2 linked regions of the Danio rerio genome follow. The protein of the gene in region 1 purifies or fractionates together with the protein of each later gene. This does not show direct contact. Links are inferred from orthologs where the notes say so. Each region holds a gene or a part of one and is shown in the gene's direction. Other genes may lie near its edges. The genes, in order: ndufab1b and lyrm2.

What was found.
Region 2: the proteins of ndufab1b (region 1) and lyrm2 purify together in Homo sapiens (affinity purification with mass spectrometry; 3 studies listed by BioGRID and IntAct, counting the BioPlex papers as one, with this or other methods). This does not show direct contact. The link is inferred for Danio rerio from reciprocal best matches to the Homo sapiens genes NDUFAB1 and LYRM2.

Annotation. Positions count from the first base shown.
Region 1 is NC_133178.1:34,393,531-34,396,761, reverse strand, and holds the end of ndufab1b (NADH:ubiquinone oxidoreductase subunit AB1b), read left to right. Parts: intron 1-1,988; coding exon 1,989-2,076; intron 2,077-2,179; coding exon 2,180-2,271; 3' UTR 2,272-2,285; intron 2,286-2,391; 3' UTR 2,392-2,573; downstream 2,574-3,231. UniProt on the Homo sapiens protein: Carrier of the growing fatty acid chain in fatty acid biosynthesis.
Region 2 is NC_133195.1:1,238,359-1,242,962, forward strand, and holds the start of lyrm2 (LYR motif-containing protein 2), read left to right. Parts: upstream 1-1,487; 5' UTR 1,488-1,532; coding exon 1,533-1,577; intron 1,578-3,155; coding exon 3,156-3,296; intron 3,297-3,472; coding exon 3,473-3,553; 3' UTR 3,554-3,956; exon of another isoform or gene 3,957-4,111; 3' UTR 4,112-4,604. UniProt on the Homo sapiens protein: Involved in efficient integration of the N-module into mitochondrial respiratory chain complex I.

The DNA of each region.
Region 1 (3,231 bases):
AAATTCTATGAATTCGGACATTCTACTCGGCTAGCATACTGATTTTAGCGTACTAAATAGTATGGAAGTATGCGGTTTCGGACGCAGCCTAACTCTGCACACTTGAAGCAACAATAAATGTGTAGGGAAGAAAAATCACCATGTAAAAATGTGATAAAGGTTAACAAGCACTCCCACATGCTGTCAGTACTTGTTGAGTAATTACTTAAATATAAACGTATCGTTTGTAATAAATGTATACATGTCTGATGAAGACTGAAACGTTACTATTAAATAATCTATTCAGTTGTTGTTGTTGATAGTGGGCAGGATTGTTTGTTCTTCTATTTCTGGTAAAAAAGAATAGATCCACGCATTCTCTAACTGATAATATTACCCATAATACTCTGTGCGTTGGACATGAATTCGATTAGAGTTACAAATCTGGGTAAAACGTCTAAACAAACTACAAACATGTTAGAACACATGTGACTGAGCGTTAAGTGGAGAGGCTTTGGTAAAGACGTTTGAATGATTGTTATTTAATATCCAACCTTATGGAATATGTACTTGACGTTTTCCAGGTTATATTTAATCTGGAACAACAATGTAAACTTAAATAAAAAATAAAATTAAAAATCAGTCCAAGGCAGACCAGGGGCAGCCAAGCTGGAGCACGTACTCTGGTGCCCTGGGCTCTGCGATGGTTAGGGAAATTCAAAATTGAACATGAATCTTTATAATTGGCTTAAGATTGGCAATGAAAATTTAAAAATAGCAGCCAGCAGATCCAGGGAAAAAAATCAGTCCAAGGCGCTCAAAAACATGGAGGAAAAATATTAAAAAGTCTTTATTGACATAGCTATTCCTTAAAATGGAGCCATTTTGGCTGAATAGCCATGTCAATAAAGGTTTTTAATATTTTTTTCATTTTTGCTTTTTTTTTTTTCTGATGAATCTCTTCTCAGAACAAACACATTATTTAAGATTCCCCTGAGCACTTTTTGTCTGACTTTGGATTTTTCTATGAAACGTGTTTGGAAATTCTTCTAAAAGCGTAATTAACCAAAGACCTGATGAGATTTCTCTGCTTGAAAGAGTTGCTATTGGCTAATTCATTGTTTCCCAACCCTGTTCCTGAAGGCACATCACCAATACACATTTTCAACCTCTTCCTAATCAAACATCCCTTAATCAACTCATCAGACCATTAAAAGAGACTTCAAAACCTGAAATGAATGGGTAAGGTAAGGGATAAGGTAAACGTCCAAAATATGTACTGTTGGTGTGCCTCCAGGAACTGGGTTGGGAAACGCTGGGCTAGTTAACCTGCTGCTGACTCTCCATTATCATAGGTATTTTGATATGAAAGAAATGGGGATGATATGTCGAGATGAGTGACAGGGCACATAACTAAGCAACAGTCTGTTAATGAGGAAGTAGTATGTCCAAAAAATCATATTTATAATTATATTTATGTAGCACTTTTACAATGTAGATTGTGTCAAAGCAGCTGAACATAGAAGTTCTAGTAGATTGAAACTGTCAGTCAGTTTTCAGAGTTGAAGATCAGTTCAGTGTGGCTTAAATTTGACTGCTGAAAGTTCAAACACTGAAGAGCAAATCCACCGATGCACAGCTCCACAATTGCCAAACCAAGCAAGCCAGTGGTGAGGAACAAAACTTCACCAATTGATGAAAGTGAAGAAGAAAAAAAACCTTGAGAAAGCAGGCTCAATTGAGCACGACCATTTCTCCTCTGGCCAGACTTCTTGTGCAGAGCTGCAGACTAGGCGCTGGAGGCTGGAGAAAGCTAAACGTCCTCCAGCACCAAAACTGCAGTCACTTAAACGTATATACTTTCCCTAAACAAAAAAAGTATGTGAATTGGGACGCAGCATTGATTGGATTTACAGATTTATTACTTTCAATGTTCTTAGTTTACATTTGAGATCTACTTATTCCTAGCTTCTCACTGATATGATTGCCTTTTACTGTTTCCTTTAAAGCTTAAATCGACGTCTCACTTCATGAAAGATCTGGGGCTGGACAGCTTGGACCAGGTGGAGATTATAATGGCCATGGAAGATGAGTTTGGTTAGTATCGGGTTTGTTCATATTAAGTCATCTCACAACTGTGATTTACTCTGCAAACGCTTTATGTGAATGCTGGTGCTCAAAGAGATTGTGTCGTTTACAGGGTTCGAGATCCCAGATGGGGATGGAGAGAAGCTTATGACTCCTGAGGAGATTGTAACATACATTGCAGATAAAAAAGATGTGTATGAATAGAGGCAAGTCACATGGTATGCGCTATTGTTTTTAGTTAAGCTAATCTATTTAGATTGTAGGAAATCCAGTCATGCTTGAAGAGATTGGTAAGAGTAACGTTTCTTCGCTCTTCTCCTGCAGGTATGGAGGATTGACTCTGTATTAAACAATATGGCTGCAGCATTGAGTTCCAGTTGTACTATCTCCAGTCTCTTGTTTATGGAGTCAACTGCCTTGTCATGTGTACTGTTGTATTTAATGAAAATGTCACTATAAACTTTTTGGGAACTTGAGCTGAAAATAAAGCCAAGACTAAATTGTAATGCTTTGTTTTGTCATGATCTACGACGTGAAGCCTCACTGCTCCCTCTGGTGGTTGGAAAGAAACACTGCTGTTTGAGTATAATAGGTTTCCAATTCTGTTTCTGGAGGGCCAATAGTTCTAAGTTCTTCAACACGCTTGCTTGGAAGTCTCTGATCAGCTGGTTGAGGTGTTTTATTTGGACAGTAAATTTAATGTTCTCTGGCTGCCATGATCAGTCTCTCACAATGTTTTTTTCTTTTCTGAAAGTCTTGATAATGTCATCTTATAGTTTTTCTCTTATTTGTAGGACTCCCTATTTACTGTGCTCTAAGTTTACCTTGAGAAACCTAGAAATGTGAAAAGGGTCCATTAGACAAACTTGGATTAAAAAAAAAATGTTAAAGCTCGTATCCTAACAATCCACTTCTAATCAAATGCTGTGTTTTGAACGAATATAAATGAAACTGACTAAAGACCCCTAAATGGGAAAACAACAGGACATTGTCATTAACCGAGGCCATAAAAATGGCATATTCCTGCTTTCTTCTCTTTAAAGGAACTAAAACCAATTTTAAAAATAACCGAGCTCATTCACTAAAGAATAAAATCTACATTTCCATGAATTTATTAATTGTATTTTATTCCATAAACTACTGATGGCACAAAAACGTGTGATG
Region 2 (4,604 bases), on another chromosome or scaffold:
CGGACTTTTATTTTCAGTCAGCCAGCCTCAGGGCTTCCGGTTAATTGTCATCCCATACAAAATAAGATCTGATTTCTTTAAAAAAAATCAGTGATCTTCACTGCCTGGCTAAGATAGGATATAAAGTGGGTATCAGTCCAAGCAAGAAGCACTGCATTAAGTTATATTTCCCCCTGCCATGTCTTTAAAATATGGAAATTAATTTTACCTCAGTATTTTCAATGGAGTTTCTGCGCTCGCCTGCGGGTAATGATGGTGCCTGCGTTTAAACTGTCTTTCGTCTCTTTTTACGGTTTAACAACTAAATTAATGCTTTAGTCTATTGAACTGAATGCATTTTAATTACATTACAACATCAAGGCTGTAAAAGGAACCTTATGAAATTGAAAATAGTCACATAAAGATCTCACAGGAAGTTCATCATTGGCACTAGCTGTGCATAGAGCCGACAAATATTAAAGATTACATTTTTACATTAAAGCTATTTCGTGTTATAGTTACAGGATATGTATGCCTGCGAACACAAAGGGGGAAAAAACAGAATCTAAACAAAAATAATAAAATATGCAGGAATAAAACGGGAAATTGTCAAGAGAAGCTTTGTGAAGTCACGAATGGATGAACAAACTTTAATCTGTTTCTTGATTTAAGAAAAATTAAAGTCAACCCTGCTTATGCAACAGAATCAGATCAACCCGTTTAAGTGTTATAATAATAAATGTGAAATAAATTATGTGGAACGAAGAATGTAACACAATAATAATTTTGGAGTGACTAGTAAAATAATGGGCAGCCATCATGAAAATCTGCGAACATAATTGTATTAAATATAGACTTACTACAATTAACTCCGCAATTTAATTCTGACAATTATTATAAAATACTGAAAATACATATTAGATTCTTCAAGTAGATGGCGGTATTCGGCAACCAACCGGTTGTTGCTAGAAGGGATACAGCAACGGACGGAAGTTAGCGAGAATTATTTGTTCTATTCATTAATTTATACGTTAATTTTATTTTATTAACGTCTACCCCTACTTCAACACTAAACCTAATAATCACGGTAATGTTAAACCTGTAATTATACCTAGCATTATTCATATTATTTATTATATTACCCATTAAATTGTATTTTGTTAACGTCTACCCCTATCCTAACCCTAAACACAACCCGTATATTAATTATTGTACAGTCACACAAAAATTATGCTATACTGACGTGATTATCCGCAGCTGTATCCCTTCTAGACTAACTCTTCGTCAGATACAAAAGATGAAAAAGAAAACGCAGGTCTGGATCGGTTAACTCCTCCCCTTATTGCGCACTATCAGCGCACTACACAGCAAATGTGGGCGTTTCTGAATTTGAGGGTGTTTCCAAAATAATGGGTTGTTCCAATGAACATGATCGACCACACCCCTAAACCGCTGTCACTTTGAATCGAGCCAATCAGGTAGGACAATGGAAAAACGCCCCTCTAGTTTCACACAACAATTCCCTCCCACCACTTTCCTGCAGAGGAAAGAACATGGCGGTGTCTCGGTTACCACCAGCGGCTCTGAGTCTCAAACAGGTAAAGTCACGGTAAATCTTTGCTTATAAGTGTCTTACATTGGCGATAAAGCAAGTATAGATCGACAGTGAGCTGATCTTCACTACAGCTGCTGTCCGGACACGCGTATGCAGCACGAACAACAGCTAAATGTGTGTGTGTGTGTGTGTGTGTGAGAGAGACATAGAAATCTGACAGGCTATATGCAAATTACATACATGACGTACAAGCTTATGTTTACATTTCAGATAAATAATGTCAAAATATTAGAAAAATGTCTGTTTAAATATATATATATATATATATATATATATATATATATATATATATATATATATATATATATATATCAAACTATTAGAAAAACAGATAACGTTAGGTTTCAATATATCAGCTATCATCGTATGTTCTTCATATATATGGCTATAGAACATCTAAAATATTTGAACATGTATGTACATATTTGTAATTCTAATGGTCGAAACATATGTAAACAGATAGTTTTTTCGCAATATTTTGAGGTACATGTTGCGTATTTGACATATTATATTTCTCAAATCTAAATATGAACTTCTATGTCAGTATATAATTTGCATACACTCACTGGCCACTTTATTAGGTACACCTTCCAAGTATCGGGTTGAAGCCTCTTTTGCCTTCAGAACGGCTTTAATCCTTCGTGGCAGAGATGCAACAAGCTACTGGAAATATTCCTCAGAGATTTTGCTCCATATTGACATAATAGCATCACACAGTTGCTGCAGATTTGTCGGCTGCACATCCATGATGCCAATCTCCCGTTCCACCACATCCCAAAGCTGCTCTATTGGATTGAGCTCTGGTGACTGGGGAGGCCATTTGAGTACACGTATGACATGGTGCGTTATCCTGCTGGAAGTAGCCATCAGAAGATGGAGACACTGTGCTCATAAAGGGATGGACATGGGCAGCAGCAATACTCAGGAAACCGCTGATACAAGGCAGGATGGATCCATGCTTTCATGTTGTCGAGGCCTAATTCTGACCCGACCATCCGAATGTGACTGAGACTCATCAGAGCAGGCAACGTTTCTCCAATCTTCTATTGTCCAGTTTATTTTAATATTTTTGAGATGTGAATATTTTTCTGGTGTGAATCTCTTTTTTGAGATCTCAATCAGGTTAAGGTCAGGACTCTGACTGGGCCATTCCAGAAGGTGTATTTTCTTCTAGTAAAGCCGTTCTGTTGTTGATTTCTTTACAAATCTGTTTCAGTTCAGCATTATTCTTGGGATGTCTGGTGTGAATCACCCTCTTGAGGTCATGCCACAGTATCTCAATCGGGTTGAGCTCAGGACTCTGACTGGGCCACTCCAGAAGATGTATTTTCATCTGTTGTTGATTTACTTCTATGCGTTGGATCTGTCTTCTGTTGCCTCACACATCCTCTGGGTCTATTCTTAATCCCAGAGGGTTCATGTACGTCTTCTTGCAACTGGATGCATGTGTGTGTGTGTGTGTGTGTGTGTGTGTGTGTGTGTGTGTGTGTGTGTGTGTGTGTGTGTGTGTGGTCATTTACAGTCCAGCCGCTGTAGTAAACCCATGTTGTGTTGTGTTCAGTTTCTGCAGAGACAGAAGGTGCTGTGTTTGTACAGAGATCTGCAGCGCACCATCCGCAGGGTCCCGCACGAGTCTGACCGCAAATACCTGCGAGACTGGGCCCGAGACGAGTTCAGGAGGAACAAGAGCAACACAGACCAGGTGGACACCTCACACACTTTCAGATTTTATTAGTAACGTTCTATTATTCTAATAAGCAAGATTACAAACAAGCAAAGCAATAACAAACATTGCTTAGAAGAGTTTTTATTATTTATTTATTTCCACTGAGTCTTCAGTCGTGGTGTTTTGTGAAATGGGGTGTTTTCCCTGTGCAGGATGCCATCCGCATGATGATCAGTCAAGCGCACAATCATCTGGAGGAGTTGAGGAGATCTCTGGCTCTGGCTGGATGCTGAAACTCTGCTGAAAACCCAGACTACAATGAGGACACACACATCTATATTTATTTATCATGCACACATTTATTAATAAAACCCAGCTTAACAAACTCACTTCATATAGACTCTGTGTGTAGTTGCGTCTTTTCAGTACAGCTCCAGTCTAACGCTCCGTCCTGGTGTCCACGTCTGATTACATTTACAGATGTGGTTTATGTAGAAAGCTTGAATACTTCTGGTGTTATTGATGATTATCACACGGCTGTCTGGAATACTGGATTCTGATTGGTCAGTCGTGACATTACAAGGTATGTTATTCCCAGATAACAACCACTGAATAACACAGACTCATCCTGGAACTGAGAATCACCATCAGTGAATATGTTCACATCCATATACTTACATCCACACTCATGTGTGTGTGCTTTAGTTTTGGACTGTTTGGCTCAGTTTTTGTAAATGAATAACCCACAGGTTAGTGTATACTCCATTAGCTGTTTTAGTTTAGGTCAGCTCTGCGTTTAATGAAAGAATTAATTAACTATTACTGTTAATTAATTAGGGAGAGGCAGTGGCGCAGTAGGTAGTGCTGTCGCCTCACAGCAAGAAGGTTGCTGGGTCGCTGGTTCGAGTTGGCGTTTCTGTGTGGAGTTTGCATGTTCTCCCTGCCTTAGGTGGGTTTCCTCCGGGTGCTCCGGTTTCCCCCACAGTCCAAAGACATGCGGTACAGGTTAATTGGGTAGGCTAAATTGTCCGTAGTGTATGAGTGTGTGTGTGAATGTGTGTGTGGATGTTTCCCAGAGATGGGTTGCGGCTGGAAGGGCATCCGCTGCATAAAAAACTTGCTGGATAAGTTGGCGGTTCATTCCGCTGTGGCGACCCCGGATTAATAAAGGGACTAAGCCGACAAGAAAATGAATGAATGAATGTTAATTAATTGACATAGTCCATAAAAACAGTTCTCCATTTCTTATTTAAACAATTAAGAACAACATAAAACAGAAATATGTTGATGTTCTGATAGCGATTCCTATGTAGAAGAACCACTTCCTGCCCTCCATCTGAATTT